Cricetulus griseus: one gene and its partner. The protein of the gene in region 2 interacts with the protein of the main gene of each other region in a pairwise test. Links are inferred from orthologs where the notes say so. Each region holds a gene or a part of one and is shown on either strand. Other genes may lie near its edges.

What was found.
Region 1: the proteins of Ankrd13a (region 2) and Qdpr interact in a two-hybrid assay, tested with the Homo sapiens proteins (2 studies listed by BioGRID). The two-hybrid records come from large-scale screens. The link is inferred for Cricetulus griseus from reciprocal best matches to the Homo sapiens genes ANKRD13A and QDPR.

Annotation. Positions count from the first base shown.
Region 1 is NW_023276807.1:114,014,966-114,019,426, forward strand, and holds the start of Qdpr (dihydropteridine reductase), read right to left. Parts: upstream 2,905-4,461; 5' UTR 2,808-2,904; coding exon 2,712-2,807; intron 280-2,711; coding exon 187-279; intron 1-186. UniProt on the Homo sapiens protein: Catalyzes the conversion of quinonoid dihydrobiopterin into tetrahydrobiopterin.
Region 2 is NC_048597.1:94,422,784-94,426,767, forward strand, and holds the end of Ankrd13a (ankyrin repeat domain-containing protein 13A), read left to right. Parts: intron 1-794; coding exon 795-862; intron 863-1,437; coding exon 1,438-1,633; 3' UTR 1,634-3,340; downstream 3,341-3,984. UniProt on the Homo sapiens protein: Ubiquitin-binding protein that specifically recognizes and binds 'Lys-63'-linked ubiquitin. Does not bind 'Lys-48'-linked ubiquitin.

The DNA of each region.
Region 1 (4,461 bases), on a different chromosome or scaffold from region 2:
CACAAAAAAAAAGCTAGTCAGAAATTGATACTAAAATTAAAATTTATCTTTGTTTTTGCTTTAAGTTTTGATTTTCAATTTTTCTAAGTTTTCCTCTGGAGGATTTCTGAATTGGCAGACAAAGAGCACAGCCTGAGAAACCCTCCCTGGGCCTCTCCTGTCACAGTGAGGGACCTTTTAGATTACCTGGTCAGCCTGTTCCGTAAATGAGTCTGTCATTTTAACAATGACACTGGCACTGGCCTCTTCATTCTCCACCACATCGATGCTGGCAACCCACTGGAGCAAGAAAAACAGTTTTGGTTAAGAGTCAGTGAGTTATTACTTGTCTAAAAAGTCACACCCAGAAATAGGAGCAATAGGGAAAGTGAAGAGGCTTAAACTGAAATGCATGGGACCAAAAATGTTTCCAGGTTGCAATTTGGGATTCTGAAATATCTGCATATACTTACTTATCTTGGGAATAGGACTGGAGCTTAAATGCAAAGTTCACATTTGGTAAGCACATTTCATATACATTGTATACTCAGTCTGAAAGAAATTTTACACAGTACTTTCAATAATCTTGAACATGCAATAGGTTTCATGTCATGAAACTTCCCATCTGAGGCTTCGCACAGCCCTTAAAAAGCTTCGGATTTAGAAGCATTTCAGATTTTTGCTTAACATGTAAACAAAAAGCCACTAGAGAAAGGAAATAACAACTGATCTTCCTGGCATCCCTTCAGGAACCACTGACCGTGGATGACCCACCTTCTACCACACTTCATCCCAAGCCATCATGCTCCTTCCTCTTCTCTGCTGGACTCTCAAGGCCAAACTCAACATGTATCTAGTAGTACCTGAATTCAGCAAAGCCTCTACAAAGAGCCATATTGAGAAGAAAAAGCTTTGCTGGACTATGAGCTCTCACAAATACTTAAACCTACTAGCACAGGAGACAGCTACAAACAATATGGAGTTGGAGGGGCATACCAGCCATCCTTGCAAATGCCAGATGCTGAAATATAAACTACACATACCACATGTTGTTATTCTTTTCATTTTATAAAACCATTTCAAGTGTAAAACTCTTCACAACTCTTGGGTGCATAGAGATGGATAGCTGTGCAGCTGTCCTATGGAAGACCCCCTGCTCTGTAGCAGACAGATGGGCCTTCTGTGTGGATGACTGACTCAGGTATTAATACTAGTCAGCCATAATGTGGCAATCTTCTTCATTAAAGAAAACAGGTGAATGATTAACATGGTTAGTAAAAACAAAATGAGATGGAGGATACTCACTCTTGGCATCACTGAGTTTTACTTCAGAAACCTCTGGGGTCCTTCAAGCTGAAGACCCCAGAGGTCAGTATCTACCATTAATTGCAAGTACAGCACCATTCAACAACACTCATTACCTGTATACCACAAGCCATGGGGAATAATACTGAGACAAAGCTGGCTCCACCCCAGCCCTGCCTAGGGTGCCACAAAAGAGAATTTGGGGTAAGTCAGCACACCAGGCTCAATGCAGAGGCCAAGGAGGAACACTGCTTAGTACCTGGCTCCCTGGTTCATGTTCAGCTGCCTTCTTATTCAGCCAAGGCCCAGCCTGCCTGCCTAGAAATAACAGGCCAAGTCCCCGACATCAATCATCCATCAAGACAAGCTCTCACAGACATGGCCACAGGCAAATTGGATCTGAGCAATTCATCCACTGAGGCTCCCTCTTCCAGGGTGACTCTGGGTTGTCAATGTGACAATAAAAGCTAACCAGCAGAGTGGAGGGGGGTAATCAATGAAGTCAGAATCCGAGAAAACAGATAGATATGAGTACAGGACCCAGTTGAGGTAGACAAAGCCCACACCTTCAATTCTGCCTTTGTCTCCACCCTCCATCTTCGAAGATCATGGAAGACATCCCAGGCTTCCAATGTTCTAAACAGATACTGTTATTACTCTTGTATCACACTTATGCCAGAACAAAATTCTGAGCCCTTCTCTCTGGTCTCAGGGGATCCCTTGCCCAGGCCTTCTGCTAACTAAACTCTCAGGTAGGTGCTCCAAGCCTCAGGGATGACTCTAGGACAAGTCTCCTGTGCTGATCCCTGCTAAGAGGCTGGGGCCAAGGTCAGCTCTATGTCCACTTGTCCTCTGGGAGTGGACACCTGACTAGGCAAAATAGTTGAAATATCCTTAACTGAGCAAAGATGTCAGCAACTGCGGGGCTGAGCCTTCAACTGCCAGATCCAACAGGGCTAAAGCAACACTGGTAATAATATTAGCTGCAGTATTGGTGACAGCTAGCACTTAAAAGGCTTTTACCTGTTATCTCACTTAATCTTCACAATCGACCCAAGAGTAAACAGAACATTATTGTCATTTTGTTTTACAGGGGAACTGAGGCTAGAGAATGTTAATCAATTCAAGGTCACTGGGCTAATAACTTAGGGCCGCCCAATTCCAGAGTCTCCCTTCTGCCCTTCCTCTCCCAGTTCGCTCACACCGTTCCTCTGCCCTCCCGAGTCACACTGGACCTTCTGGGCCTGGAGGAGGCCTCGGGAGCACCTACACCACACGCTCCTTGCAGGGCAAAGGTCCGACACCTGTGGCCTGGAACAGACAGGAGCATGCGAGTGTAACCTAGTCACGGGTGCACAGGGCCGGTAGTTTCCCCCACCCCCTACTCCAAGGGTCTGCCGCTCGCAGCGATCGTCCCGCAGCGTTACCCAGTTGCGGGCTCGGAAGGCCTGTACACAGCGCGAGCCCAGCGCGCCCCTGCCGCCGTACACCAGCACCCGGCGCGCCTCCCCCGAAGCCGCCATCCTGCTCCTGACAGGCTTCCCGCGGTACGGAACGTCAAGAGGGAACGTGCGGCTGTGCCAGCCGCTACACAACGCGGAACTCAAGAAGATTGCCCGCCTCTACCTGCGCCCCGCCCAGAAGCTCCGCCCTGAGGTGGCGACGCAGATATTGCAGAGCCACGCCTCCCACTTTGGCCAATAGGAGTGCGTCAATTGGAGCGCGTGATCACTACTTGCCCCGCCCTAAAGATGAGATACATTAAACCACGCCTCCCCTCGGTGGGCCAGTAGACTCTCGGCCGGCTAAGTACGTGCTCTCTACTGCGCCCCGCCCATCTGCCGAGCCTCCACTGCCCATGAGCCAATAGGAGCGTAGCTAGCCAGACGCGTGCTCTAAACTGTGCCCTATGGCCCGCCCTCGCTTGTAGGCCGGCAGGCGTGCATCATTCTCTCCGCTAAGCCCTGAACACTACTGGGGTGTGGACCACAGCAAAGTTCCACCCTCGGGCAGCGATGCTTTTGGAGCACTAAGCTAAGCCCCAGCCAGGAACAAGAGTTCAGTTGTGCAGTTGCTGCAGGGCTCAAGTGGGTGAAAATAATTGCTGACAGGAACAGACCACCTGAAATATTTTTACTCTCAAATAAGAGTGTGAACTTGGCTTGGCCCCACTGCCTAACAGCTGTGGGGCCTAAGTACCTCCTTCAATTGTTCTGTGCCTCAGTTTCCTTGCTAATAAAATGCGATTAATAGTCTGTGCCTCTAGAGTAGGAGGGAAAAAAAGAGTAAAGGTACATCGAGCAGTGTGTGGCTATCAGTATTAGTCTTACAAGTACTGATTATTAAAATTCACTGCGCCTCTTAGAAGCCTGTTACACTTTTCCAAATGGAAGACAATTGTCTATCTGGGGACACATTTAAAAGTGAAAATCTGCCAAAACAGTGATAACAAAATTTTTAGTGCTCTATAGTTTAAATGTTTCCATTTCTGAAATTAATGCATTTAAAACAAAGAATATGATGGGGAGTTGTTACTATATTTAAAATAGTATTAGTATATAGCACAACAGGCTTTGCTCTGGTAGGAGCACAAATTTAGCTATGGTTTAGTTTTAGGCCTGTCCTTACATGCAGACCTCTCTGGCTGCATGTAAGCAACAGGTATCTTAGATCTACATTTGAGACCCACCAAATGATGCCATCCATCCCCAACAGATCCTGGTGTCACTTCCCACGTGTAGGTTAATTATTTCTGCTCATAAGCACAGAGTTTCTTACCAACTGCACTGCTGACATTTAGCATCAGATAATTGGAACTGAGAGTAGCCTATATGTATATAGTATTCACAGCATCTCTGAACTCTAAATGTTACCTAAAATCCCCTGAGGGGTAAAAAAATCACCTTTAGCTAAGAGCCAATGTCTGTCTCTGTTGTAGGCTTTGGAAACAGATACTATATTGGACTTCATTGTGAACCTCCAGCCCACAGGGTGCCTTGGAGACAACAGACACAGTTTTACCTGCAACTGTCAAGAGCTGCTGACCTATGTCAGTGGACATCAGAATGTGGCTGGCAGAACATTCCACTCTCAGGAGCTGCATTATCTAAAGCAGAATTGTTGAGAAACCTGGTGGGAGGGAGAGGCACATTTATCTAATGCCCTCCTCATGCCAGG
Region 2 (3,984 bases):
CACTGCTCACTGGAGGTTTCTGGGGCTTGAGTAATTCTAGTCCCACCCCTTCTTTACTCCCTAACTGCCATCACAGACCCAGTCCAGATTCATTTGCTGTGCTTTTTTTTTTCTTTTTTTATTAATTTTTTAATGTATATGGGTGTTTTTCTGGCATGTCTGTCTGTCTGGTGCCTGAGGTGGCCAGAAGAGTGTTGGACCCCCTGGAACTGGGGTAGAGATGGTTGTGAGCTGCCACATGGGTGCTGAGAACCAAACCTGGATCCTGGAAAAGCAGATAGTGCTCTTCAATACTGAGCCATTTCTCCAGCCCTCATCTGGGTATGGGGGAGTTGGTTTTTATTTACTTTTTTGGCAGCTGGGCTGTCTGCTTTTGGGAAGACCCAACCCTTAGACAAAACTGTCAGTGCTTCCTCTGTCTGTTCAAATGAGCTTAGTATTACTCTCTCAATAGCTATAAAACCTTGATAACTAAGTTTTGATGAGGACAATAGCTAGAGTCCAGGTCAACAAACACTGAATTATGTCTCCTCAGTTTGTCTTTAAGGCATGCCTTGCCTTGGTTTGACTGTTGCACTAGGTTAGGGGTTCTAGACTAGAACTGTGTAAAGTCTGAGAAGGTGGTAATGTCTGATGCCCTGTACCATATGGTACTGACGGTCACTGTGAGTGTCCACATTGCAGTCAGTGACACGTAAATACTGTACATTTTGTTCTCACTGTGTTCATTTCCTGGTCATTTTGGCAACCATTCCCTCTGTGAGGAGTTCATACCCATCCTTTGTTTTTGCCAGGACCTTTCAGGACCAGCATCAAATGGAGGGATCAGTCCCACCCACAGTTATGAAGCCCAGTATGAGAGGTAACTATGGGACTTGTCCTGATGTGGCTTTTGTCAAACCTGGGTTGGCATGGGCACTTGATACCGGGCATCTGTGTGGCTGCGCTCAGTGGCAGGTTTAAGAGTCAGTACACTTTCCTGCTTCTTCTCATCATGGTTACTCATTAAACCAACTCTGAACCAAATGCTGACTGCTTCACAGGTTAGGGCTACTTGCAGCAAAGCCCTGGTTAAATGGTTTCTGGTTGGCTTGGTCTTCTGTGAATGTGAGTTGCAGGTCTGGCTGGGTGAGGATAGATAGAGTTAAAGATGGTTGAGGAAGAGCTATAGAAATGGTAGAAACTGCAGTAGTGCCTCCTTTTCCTATGTGAGCACTGGAGGTCAGGCACCTCAGCTGTGCTTTCCAACAGACCAGAGTTCCATTCATATCCTAGTACTGGGTGATGCAGTCACATAGGCCCAGCAGCTCTATCACAACAGTGCATGACATCGTGCATCAGGAGGAGTGCTTGGTACAGTGTGCTTTTAATCACTAAGAATGTATTTGTCACCATTGCCTTCAGGATAGGAATAACTCTGTCCCATTCCCACCATAGGGCCATCCAGGAGAGCCTCCTAACCACTATGGAAGGTCAGTGCCCAGGTGCCCTCAGTGAGTCAAGCCGTTTTGATAGCGACCTACAGCTGGCCATGGAGCTGTCTGCCAAAGAGCTGGCGGAACAGGAGCTAAGGCTCCAGGAGGAAGAAGCAGAACTCCAGCAAGTCTTGCAGCTGTCACTCACTGAGAAATAGACATTTCTGTCCGGGGGCTCCTCTGGGCTGCATGGGAGTGCTTCATCAGCTGAGACCCTAGACAGAGGGCCTACACTTCCTGCAGACAGCAGCTGCCCCTTCCTTATGCAAAGGTGCAGGACCAGGAACTCCCCAGAGTGGAGGAGGGGAGCATTGGCAGGTCCCATCTCCAGGCTGAGGGGAGGAGAGCATTGTCACCTTCTTCCATTAGCTATCCTGGCTTGCAGGTCACATTTTTACTACCAGCTTTAGACAGAGACGCCAAGCCCTGCAGTTAGTAGATACATCTTAATCAGACATGATGACAGTTACTGCAGAGTCAGGGTGCTTTTCTACACGAGAGCAGCAGCCTTTGTAGAGTGTTCACCAAAGAAATGGGTTCTGCTGCCCTCTTTATTTTCCCTTCTGCCAGGGTTCCTAGGACATGGCCATTATTACTCCCCATCTGTGCCCTGTTCCATGCCCTTTACCCCAGCTAAGAGGATATGTACAGGATCTATTTTAGATTATGGCTAACTATTTGCATCAAATTAAGATATACAGATGACCACGGATGTTGCCTTAGCCTTAAAAATTATTAATAGTTTTAAGCCACCTCACTCCACACACTGAGGACCTGACTTGAGTCCGCAAAGGCAGTTAGTTCCTTTGGGAGCAGCATCCTCCAGGCTAAACCGAAGGCAGCTAATCCTGTCCTTAGGGGCAGCTAGGGGAATCCAAGGCTGGTTCTCACGACAGGCAAGCTGACCACTGGACAGCAGAGAACCTAGTCACCGTGGCGGTGCCCGCTCTGGTGAAGGATTTCCCACCGGGAGAGAGCCAGCACATGGCCTATTGTTAGAGAGGACAGGATGAACTTGAAACCAGAAGGGAGCTAACATGGAGTAGAGGCTCTTCATTCAAAAGGGAAAAGTGACGACTCCTCATTGCTTTTTAGAGTTCAAATCAACATCTTTCTGGATAAATATATTTTTTAACAGAATCTTTTTATTATTTTTAAAAGATATAAAAATGACTACTCCCATCAGTAGCAATACAAGGTTATGCATTTTAACCAGATTTTCTCAGGCCTTTTTTGGATACGTTTAGTAGTTAACTATTTTGTCTAACCCTCCTGTAAATACCTATTGCTAACAGACCGCCCCTGGGGAATACAGCCAAGGGCACCTTGCACCTCTCACCTGGTGCAGGCATTCACCCCCACAGGCTGCGCTGATCACATGGTAGTAATACCTTCCCATTTTGCGTCTGTTTCCTGTTACACTTCTTCTGGGGACAGGAAGAGAATCCACGGTCCCCAGAAATGTCTGTTTGATACAGTCAGTGTTGCCAGTAAAATGTTCTTAGACAAAAAGAATTGTGATTTTAATTCCTCATGGCCATCTGCCTTTTGTCATGGTCTAACCAAATTCCTTCCCTGTACATAAGGCCAGTATGGCCATCACATTTGTACTCAGCTTGGGGGTCTGTTTACTTGGCGTTTGCCAGGAGCAAAGACACTTGCGGGAATGGCTGCACTGGGCCATGTTTACTCACTAAAGTGAATCCTAGGTAACTCCTGTGTTTGCATTCCATTGCTCTGCTTTCCTGAAGTCTGACTGTGTCCCCAGGAAGTCACGTAAAAAGGTACTGAGCATTGTTGCAGCTTTCCCCATGTGTTTTCTCTTAAAATGCAAATAAATATGCTTCCACAGAGGGTACTCAGAGTCCTGACAGCCAGAGTCCTGTCTATTCCACAGTCTTCCTCTTGTCACTGGAGGACACAGTGCCTGCCCTTTACAAAGCAGCACACTATCACCCACCCCCAGCTTTCCTGCCCAGGGCACAGGCAACAGGCAACATTCCTCATGACTTGTGCCAGATGGAAATAAATGAAAAGCACCCAGTGTTGGACAGTTTGGATCCTCTTCACCTTGTGAAAGTGGTGCCTGGTAGCAGAAGAGAAAATGGGCCATGATCAACCCCGCTGATCCTGGAAGCCAGAGTGCTGGGGTACTATTTTTAAGGCTTTCAAGTGAAAATTGGGGCCTTAAAGGAAAAAGGCAGTGGCTGGATGACAGTGTTGGGGTTCTAGAAGGGGCTAGAAGGAACATGGAAGAGCAGCTGCTTTGGGGGAATAAGCAGTACTTGAGCCTCAAGCATCATGAAAAACAACACCCCCTTTGCAGGCCACGATGCATGCAGTCTAAGAACTGTTTCACACCAAGTAGTTCACCAAGGCTCATGCTCCAGTCACTTCTACCCAGGAGTGCTGTTGGCACTGAATACAGGTTTCTGAGAGACTGTTCCAGTCTTGTCACACTATAGAAAGTGCAGTGTCAAGGGAAAGTTGGCTTTGAATAGTGACAGGA